Arabidopsis thaliana: one gene and its partner. The protein of the gene in region 1 interacts with the protein of each later gene in a pairwise test. Each region holds a gene or a part of one and is shown on either strand. Other genes may lie near its edges. The genes, in order: RS31 and MOS14.

The links.
Region 2: the proteins of RS31 (region 1) and MOS14 interact in a two-hybrid assay, tested with the Arabidopsis thaliana proteins (one study listed by BioGRID).

What each region holds. Positions count from the first base shown.
Region 1 is NC_003074.8:22,899,524-22,904,505, reverse strand, and holds RS31 (RNA-binding (RRM/RBD/RNP motifs) family protein), read left to right. Parts: upstream 1-2,110; 5' UTR 2,111-2,234; intron 2,235-2,325; 5' UTR 2,326-2,346; coding exon 2,347-2,452; intron 2,453-3,250; coding exon 3,251-3,363; intron 3,364-3,447; coding exon 3,448-3,677; intron 3,678-3,764; coding exon 3,765-4,079; intron 4,080-4,164; coding exon 4,165-4,195; 3' UTR 4,196-4,456; downstream 4,457-4,982. Other genes in the region: AT3G61870 (plant/protein), read right to left, coding at 611-789, 1,070-1,499, 1,595-1,804.
Region 2 is NC_003076.8:25,129,616-25,134,635, reverse strand, and holds the start of MOS14 (ARM repeat superfamily protein), read left to right. Parts: upstream 1-1,919; 5' UTR 1,920-2,162; coding exon 2,163-2,285; intron 2,286-2,855; coding exon 2,856-2,933; intron 2,934-3,024; coding exon 3,025-3,087; intron 3,088-3,313; coding exon 3,314-3,361; intron 3,362-3,448; coding exon 3,449-3,595; intron 3,596-4,074; coding exon 4,075-4,206; intron 4,207-4,596; coding exon 4,597-4,637; intron 4,638-4,919; coding exon 4,920-5,011; intron 5,012-5,020. Other genes in the region: AT5G62610 (basic helix-loop-helix (bHLH) DNA-binding superfamily protein), read left to right, coding at 36-335, 651-857, 940-1,005, 1,087-1,155, 1,227-1,304, 1,394-1,519. UniProt on the Arabidopsis thaliana protein: Functions as a nuclear import receptor for serine-arginine rich (SR) proteins. Regulates nuclear import of SR proteins that are required for proper splicing of the two resistance (R) genes SNC1 and RPS4, a crucial step for their functions in plant immunity.

The DNA of each region.
Region 1 (4,982 bases):
AACTGAGAGATCTTAAAAGTGGATAAGTATCTCTATAAAGAAAGTTTTTTTTATGGTGGAAACATCTTCACTGGTTGCTGAGAGGTTTTCATAATGACGCGACGCCATGTATGTTTCTCAATAAAAGTGATTGCAGCAAAAGATATGACTATTTTGTTTCCGCAATTTGTAGTCCAAGTGCAAACAAAACATGATTTACATGTAAACTGAAAATTGGCTTGATCAAGAATTATCGATAACCAATTTGGGCCTATCAACATAAATACCATTGTATCTATATACATGGGCCAAAATTGACAAAGTATATTATTTGATAGACATTTAAGATATAATAAATGTCAGTATTCTTTTTTTTTTTAGGTGAGACAAATGTCAGTAATCTACTAATCTTTGACACAATCATAGCGTATCCAATTTATATTTGACACAATCAGGTGAAAACAAAGGACTGGTAAAAGAGTATTATTGATCGTTTTTCCACCATTATTCCAATATCCACTCTAATTGCATGATTTTTACAATTCATCATCTACAAACCTCAAAAAAAGTTGAAGAATATTTGCATATATAGAGTCACAAACTCATAAATAACACATCCAAATATTAATATCTATGGCCATTTAGTGAACTCAAAGACCTTAAGAACGATATCAAGACCTGTTGGGATTTGCCAAATGAAAAGAAGAACATTTACTGCATTCAACGCTATATGTAGACTCCTCGCCGTATCGTTCCCTTTCTGCATTGCCGGCACCAATGCTGCCGCCGCCGCCCACAACACCGTTATTCCTGCCACCACCACCACCATGAACACAAAATGTGACACGTTTTGTACATCCAATAACAAATATAAACCACATTTTTTCTCATAGTTGTGATGAATGGTAACTTTTGAAATGGCACAATACTATTTATACCAATATAACTAAAATCCAAAGTTCTGATCAAAACTTAAACCACATCAGACCAAGCCAAAACCTGACTAAGCAACCCAAGATTACACACTTTGATAAATTAGAACCTAAAATCAAGGAAATGAAAAATAAGACGAGAGATAGGTTTAAGGTACCTGCACCGGCGTAAAGATGAGGACCGGGGAAGAGTTTACCAGTACGAAGATAAGTGTTAACACCACCAAAGACAGCTTCCAAAACACCGAAACCTAACAAAACAGAGCCAGCGTCAAAGTGTTTGTCTCTGTAAGACCCTTTGACCAACTCTTTCCTCTCTTCAGTTAGCCGTTGGATCTGAAGCTCAGTCGTAGAAGGAGGCGACGAAGAATCAACGGCTGTGGAACCATCAGGGGAAACAGGAGTTGGTTTAAGCTGTTTCTTGAGATCACTAATCTCACTCTGTATCGTACGGACACGTCTCCATTGCCAACCTAAGTAACCAGTCCAAAGAGTGTATGCAAATAAACCTCCCATCACAATTGGGTGTATCAACGCAAATGATCTCCCTTCTAATATTCCGAATTCTCCTCCAGCTGCTGCTGCATCCTTTTGAAATTGCAAAGAAAACAAGAATCTTGATCATCTGGTTATATTTGTAGAATGTGAAACTATTGGGGAAAGATGTGAAACTTTTTGATTACCTGTGGGTCGAGGAAGAAAGGCAATGCGATGACTGCGAGAGGGAGAGAGGATGATTTAAGGAGCTGAAGAGCGTTGGGAGTGGAGGGTATTTCTGGGGTTTTACATGGTTGTGATTTGGTGGTGATTGGTTTGAGAGAGTTTAGGGTTTTAGGGTGATGAGTGCGAGGAAGAAGATGGAGTGTGGAGAGACAATGAAGTGTGGTCGCCATACTCGCGATTCTTGGAACAGAGATTGTGGCAAAAAGAGTGAAGAAGAAACAATAGAGACATCCTAAACCGCAAAAATGATCGAACCAAAACAGATAAGAGAACTCCGTTGAATCTCCACGTGTCAGAAAACTGGACACTTACATAAACTTTAATTCTTTTCTTCTTCACCGACGGAAAATGGGTCTGTATATAAACATGTATAAATTTAATTCTATAAGAAAAGACTCCAACGAGTTCTTCGGTATGGGGCTAACTTATTGTGGGCCTATTTATAAAGAAGGCCCATTATGATTTTTGAATTTCCGAATGTACCCATGATGGTATGACGGGCTTTTTTAAGTCAACCAGGCTCTGCTTTTCTTCGATGAGCGTAGTAGTCGTCGTCGTCGTCTAGGGTTTGTTTTTCGTTTCTTCTCCGATTGTTCAGAGGTAACTTTTCTCCGATAATTATACTTGCTCATGTCCATATACCTTATTTTATCCCTTACATGTTACTAATTTCGAGTTATTGGATCGTTAGGAATTGCGAATTAAGATAAAGATGAGGCCAGTGTTCGTCGGCAATTTCGAGTATGAAACTCGCCAGTCGGATCTGGAACGGTTGTTCGACAAGTATGGGAGAGTCGACCGAGTGGACATGAAATCTGGTAAAGTGTCTTCTAAGTTATACGCCGGTGAAATTTTGTTGTTTGTCCGTCTCGAATTCGAATTCGTCTTCTGGTTGATAAATCATCTTTGCTTAGGTTTAGTTTCTGCTTGACCTAGGATTCTGGATACTTAGAACTAGTTCCAGTTTCATACATGATTTGAAGGTTTATATATAGTACCGTTACATAGAAAAGATTGGTTTTATTTTTCCCGAATGTGTTAAGTGTGGTAGGGGGTTTATGCAGTAGAGAGGATGGTTGTATTGAGTGTTTATTTGTTCGCAGGAACTTTTCTTCAAAGGAACAAGATTTGCCATCTTCTTCTTCTTCCTGCAAAATCATTTCTACATTTTCATACCTGCCTTTATCATCTTGTGCCTACCAATCTTCACTGACTCTAGAGAAACTTTGGAATTTGTCTGTCTATTACCAATCATCGATGCTTCAGATGGAAGTCTATTGAATCCATCATTGCCATGCCTTGCCTTCCATATCTGAACTCCTCCACTCAGAATGTTTAAGCATGCCTGGCAAATCACTCAGATTTTTTAATATAAAATTGGTGTTTTTAAAAATAAAAATCCTGAATTCCTGTGTTATGCTACAAATCTTGTTTTTCTACTACATCATGGAATGCCTCTACATCTCTCATATTCACCAGCCTTCACTTATATGAAGGTGTTGTATATCTATTTAGTTATTTTCTAGGGTAAACGAGATATGCAGCAGGTTAATGGACAGGAGGATTGTCACTCTTTGTGTTGCGTTTTGTAATCCTTGTGCTTTCTTTTGTTGCAGGATATGCTTTTGTGTACTTTGAGGATGAACGTGATGCTGAAGACGCTATTCGCAAACTCGACAATTTTCCTTTTGGATATGAGAAACGCAGGTTATCAGTTGAATGGGCAAAGGTATAAATTTTTTTCTGGTTTTTATTGAAGCTTGCACTATGCCGCATATTTAAGAAACCTTTTAAAGTTTCTTTCGGTTTTCAGGGTGAACGTGGCAGGCCTCGTGGTGACGCGAAAGCCCCTTCAAATCTGAAGCCTACAAAGACACTGTTTGTCATTAACTTTGACCCCATTAGAACAAAAGAGCACGACATTGAAAAACACTTTGAGCCCTATGGTAAGGTCACCAACGTGCGTATCAGACGCAACTTCTCATTTGTTCAGTTTGAAACACAAGAGGATGCTACAAAAGCCCTTGAAGCTACTCAAAGAAGGTAAAACAACACTTCTTCTAGTTACTTTTTCCGTCAAACTTTTAGTACATTTGCCTCTCTAAAAACATCCCCTTTTTGTTTCCTCAGCAAAATATTGGATAGGGTTGTTTCCGTGGAGTATGCGTTGAAAGATGACGATGAAAGAGATGATCGAAATGGTGGTCGTAGCCCGAGAAGGTCTCTTAGTCCTGTGTATCGTAGGCGTCCAAGTCCAGATTATGGCAGGCGTCCAAGCCCTGGTCAGGGTAGGCGTCCAAGTCCAGATTATGGTCGTGCTCGAAGCCCAGAATACGACAGATACAAAGGTCCAGCAGCTTATGAAAGACGGAGGAGTCCAGATTATGGACGAAGGAGTTCTGATTATGGTAGACAAAGGAGCCCTGGTTATGACCGATACAGAAGGTAAAAAAAAAAAAAAATGGCTTTGGCTTCTTACTGTTCACTCAAGTCCCATTGATGTTCTTATGTAATGTTTTTGATTGAACAGTCGTTCTCCAGTCCCAAGAGGAAGACCTTGATCAATGCAGAAAACAGAAGCTTCGAAGAATGAGTTTTTCGAAAGGGTAAATTTATCTATGTTGTGTTTTGAGTTAGAAGATGCTTTTTGATGTTTTGAAATCCTTGTTAACTTTGGGATCTTAGACTTTTATCTTAAAATCAGTAGAAACTTCATAATGGCGCTTTGTCACGATCTGTTACTTGGTTCATATACTCTTTTCATTCGTCATTAATTATTCTAAATCCCATATAAATTAACAATGACACAAGTTTGCCAGAAAATAAATCATTTTGATGCAACTTTTTTCCTATATGACAACGGAAGGAAATTGTCACTTTGTTTGAACAATTAATTACCTGCAAACAATTACTTTGAGGGCAACGCTTCCCATCAGGTGGGATAATTGGGCCGATAGGCCCAAAAACTCTCCGAAATTCTTTAGTCAAACGCTATGCCGTCGCTTCTAATAAACTTTTTTTTTTTTTTTGATAAACATTCTTATAATCTTTTGATTTTTGTGAAACTTGTGATCGAAAAGAAAGAAAAATTGTATAAGGTAAAATTGTAAAAAAAAGACAATTGAGAATCGAGGTGGAATTCTTTTTATAACTTTTCTATAATGATATTATTAACTAGTTAAAATATTTGTGAGACATGTCCTTTTATTCCTTCGATTTCTTTGGCCTGAAGATAAACAGCTTTGTATAATATTTTTATAAATATATAGTTGACTCCATCGATCCGTTGCATTATGTTTTCTTAATTGTTTTGAATAAAGCGACCATGCGCGCAGATAAATGTAGATT
Region 2 (5,020 bases), on another chromosome or scaffold:
TAAATCTGGGTCAACCCTTTTTACGATCATCGGAAATGGACCCTCCACTAGTGAACGATTCCTCCTTCTCTGCAGCTAATCCTTCTTCTTACACTCTCTCCGAGATTTGGCCTTTCCCTGTAAACGACGCCGTTCGCTCTGGTCTCCGTTTAGCTGTTAACTCCGGTCGAGTCTTTACTCGCTCTGAACATTCCGGCAATAAAGACGTCTCCGCGGCTGAGGAATCTACAGTCACCGATCTAACTGCTGGCTGGGGAAGTAGAAAGACTAGAGATTTGAACTCTGAGGATGATTCTTCAAAGATGGTTTCTTCCAGCAGCAGTGGTAATGAATTGGTGAGATTTTGCACTTCAATTTTTGAAAAGTCCTGATTTTTATTTGTTGGGTCTTTTGAATGTTTGAATCTAGATCCTTTAGCTTGGTGGTGATCTAAAAATCAATGAGTCAAAGTTTAAGTCTTTGGTTTAGGGATCAAGGATTAGTTTATAGATTAGATGACTTATCTCCATTGACTTTTTGACTTAAGTTGGATTCAGCTTGAAGACCATTAGTTTGATAGATGTTGGAATGGTCAATGCTTACTTAGTGATCTTAGATTGAGAGTTTGATTTAGGATCTTAAAGCTTTCCATCTGTTTACTTTTTTAATAGAAAGAATCAGGGGATAAGAAAAGAAAACTGTGTGGATCTGAAAGTGGAAATGGAGATGGTTCGATGAGACCTGAAGGCGAAACAAGTTCGGGTGGTGGTGGAAGCAAAGCAACGGAACAGAAGAACAAACCTGAGCCACCAAAGGATTATATTCATGTGAGAGCAAGAAGAGGACAAGCTACTGACCGGCATAGTTTAGCAGAGCGAGTAATTCTTCTGCTAAAATCACCATAAATTTTATCCTCAAAAACTGTTCCTTTTATTAGAATCACAATGTTGTCTTTGACAGGCTAGAAGAGAAAAGATCAGTGAGAAGATGACAGCTCTTCAAGATATAATTCCAGGATGTAATAAGGTACATGTTCTTTTGGTCCCTGCTTGTGAATGATGTTATTATAGCCTAAAAAACATTCAACAAGATATTTCTGTTGATCAGATAATCGGAAAAGCCCTTGTGCTCGATGAGATTATCAATTATATTCAGTCATTGCAGCGGCAAGTTGAGGTAAAAGTCGTTAACACCTCTCTGTTATATGTTACAATTATACATGCCTAAGCATGGAGTTTGGTCTGCAGTTTCTATCAATGAAGCTAGAAGTTGTTAACTCGGGTGCAAGTACTGGTCCGACAATAGGAGTTTTTCCTTCCGGTGATGTAAGTCCCAAATCTAAAAGAACATAGAAAAATCTTATCTTTCTTAATCAAAGCTACTAAATCTAAAAGCTCTTGGTGTGTTGTATCAGCTCGGGACTTTACCGATTGACGTTCATCGAACAATATACGAGCAACAAGAAGCTAATGAAACCCGAGTATCTCAACCGGAGTGGCTCCATATGCAGGTTGATGGGAACTTTAACCGAACCACATAAAAAAGAGTCTTTCTCTGATTGATGGATGTGTTTTGTAGGCAGTAAAAATGAATGCAACCCTTTATTTTTTATCCTATGCGTGTGTATCATTTTGCTGTTATATCATAAGATAGAATATGAGAGTGACCAGAGAGATTAACACTTTATAAAACATTGTTGTATTGTCCTATTATATAACTTGTAACAATTGATTCAGTAACATATGTTGGTCTTAAATCTTGTCCTTTGTATAATCTTTATGTTATGATGAATCAATGATACGTTTTTTTTGTTGTCTTCAATTTATTGCAACAACTGAAAAAAAGTAAACAACTTCTGTCTTCAAAATAAAAGAAGAAGGATTTGACTTTAAGTCAAAGTAATTGTATCTAACGGCTGAGATTCTCTCTTCTTCATCCTCTTTCAGATCAAAATTCGATCTCTATCTCTCTTCCTCACTCAAGTTGAGGGGCGCCAAAAAAAAACCTTTTTGACAAAGAGGGAAAAAAAAAGTTTTTATTTTTATTGTTTTTGTTGGGCGAAATCGATTTGACAAAATCCCGAATTTCAGTTGGGCAAATTCTTCTATTTCTCAATCTGGGTCTTTCTCTCTGGTCGTGATTTGGTGACCGTACGAGCGAATAACGCGTAAAGATTCATAGCTATGGAGCATCAGAACGCGGTCAAAGAAGCCCTAAACGCACTGTATCATCACCCGGATGATACAGTGCGTGTGCACGCTGATCGCTGGCTTCAGAACTTCCAAGGAACTCTCGATGCTTGGCAGGCGAGTTTTTTCTTTTCGATTTCAATTATTTAATCTCGATTTGTTTAGGTTCGATTTGTTCTTCCTTGTTTTGTAGCACTTGTGCTAGAGTTTAATGTTCGATTTTCAGCTACTGTAGACCATATAGGTGCATAAAGTTTCATCCTTTAGTCAATTTGTATTAGTGATTTGCTCTTTAAGGTCATATAGGCTTATGCATAGCAGAAATCTCAAAATTTCAGTACGTCTAAGTTCATTTCTGAGTTACTTTAGACTATATAAGTGCATAAATTTTCATCCTTTAGTCAATTTGTATTAGCGATTCGCTTGTTAAGGTCATATAGGCTTATGCATAGCAGAAATCTCGAATTTTCAGTACATCTAAGTTCAATTGTGCACTTTTTCCTGTAGCTGGTTTGAGAAGTATGTGTAAGGTGTGTGAATAGATTTACCTTGTTAGAGAAACGATTAGCTAGGTTTTATATGAGCTCTTTTCTTTTAGACCCATGATTGTTGTTGCGGAGAAGAGGATTTTTTTTGATGGAGAAGTTCTACAATATTTCTTACTCTGTGCTGTTGTATGTTTTCTAGGTTGCGGATAATTTACTTCATGATTCTTCTAGCAATTTGGAAACTTTGATATTCTGTTCTCAGACCCTTCGAAGCAAGGTAAATGCACCTGAATGTTTCTGTAAATCCTTATTCATTTATCACACAATCTTGGAGCATTCTGGTGACATCTAGTCTGTCTCACTCGAAGGTTCAACGAGATTTTGAAGAACTACCACCTGGGGCTTTTCAGAAGCTACGGCAATCATTAACGGTAATTCTTTGTTCTATTAACTATTTCTTCCAAAGTTGTAGGGTTTCATGAGTTATTCATTAGTATGTCTGTTCCTTTGAGCAATAACATAATAGGAAAACTCAGTTGAACTAGAGTATTCTGGGATCTAGGTTTTACTATGATTTCATCTTTCTGGCCTATTATTCTTGGTATTGGACAATTACTTCCCGGAAAATTTTGACTTTCATTATTTTCTCAAATGCAGACATTGTTAAAAAAGTTCCACAAGGGCCCTCCAAAAGTTAGGACCCAGGTAAGTGCATATGTGGAATTTTCTGTTGTGCGTATAAAGTCATGTACTTTGTGTCGAGTTATCTTATTTAAGTATTTTATATTGTAGATTAGCATTGCTGTTGCTGCCTTGGCGGTGCATGTTCCTGCGGCAGACTGGGGAGATGGTGGTATAATTAGCTGGCTTAGGGATGAGATGCATATGCATCCTGAATATGTGCCTGGTTTCTTGGAACTCTTGACAGTTTTGCCCGAGGTAGAGTATTTTTTATTCCTTTGTTTAAGTGTTCATCTCACTCAGTAATTAATTTGACTTCATGTATCCGGCTATATAGATATGAAAGGCCTTATTTTGGTCTGACTTGGATCTTCTTACTTATTATTTATGCTGGTATTACTGACCTCAAATTGGGTAGACCTATTTGGAGAATATTCTGTTCCTTTTTTACTTTTTCCATATCTATGTTTAGGTAGCATTCGACGTTACTCTGTGAGTGTTATTTCAATCCCTAAAGTATTGGCTGGGCAAGACCTTGATATTTTGTATGGTATTGTTTGCAAAAAATGTTGGTAGTTTATTTGTAACTAAATGAAGATTCTAATTTTTTCACAAATCTCTACCACATCGTTTGACCTTTCCCTTTCATTAACTTGATTCACTTTAGGAATGTTTAGCTTTAATCTAGATGGTTATATGATGTCTTGATCTTATATTGTCCTTCTTGCTATGACCAGGAAACATTTAACTACAAAATAGCTGCTCGTCCGGATCGACGACGTCAATTCGAAAAAGAGCTTACTTCTCAAATGGAAGCTGCACTTAGTATCTTATCAGCATGTTTGAAAATATCCGAACTTAAGGAACAGGTCAGAGCTTATCTTTAATATAGAGTCGTGACATAGTTCAGTACATAGTTTGTTATTCACTTTCCATGATCCCTCTGTATAACACATCAAAATAACCTTCTTCTTTTTATGTTTTCTGATGCATGTCTGTTTTTTTACTTTCCACTAGTTTTTACTTTCTTTACCAGTCAGAGTCTATGTTTGCCTTGTCAAAACATATTTGCTAGTTTTAGGTAAAAGCTTGATTACATCTTAGGTTTTCACTCACCTGCCAAAATTTAATATGTCTTCTTGCATTATTGTTAGCTTCTGAAAAATGTCCCATGTTCCTGTGTGTTGGACCAGCTAGTGTTTTTGGTGTTGCAAGAAGTCACTTATTGTCAATTGTGTTCTGTAATTTTGATTTTTCAGGTTCTCGAGGCATTTGCTTCTTGGCTCCGTCTTAGGCATGGGTATGCTCTTTTCTTTTGCTTTTCTATCTCCAGTTTTATTTAGAACAAAAGCTCGTCTAGATTACAAATATTCATTGCGAGTTCGTCAGGTTGTAAATTGTTTTAATATATGGGTCATAGATTTTGTCCTATATAGAATCATCTTAGACACAAAGCTAAGTTTATCTGATTTGTTGCTGTTGGTTTCTACTTGCTATCCTTCTTTATTTTCACCAATTCAACTTAGCAACGATGATACTGACTGAACTGTATACTGGTGAACTTTGGGGTGGTCTTTTTCAGGATTCCTGGAACAGTGCTTGCCTGTCATCCATTGGTGCATGCAGCTCTCTCAAGTTTGAACTGTGATCCACTATCAGAGGCATCTGTTAATGGTATACTAG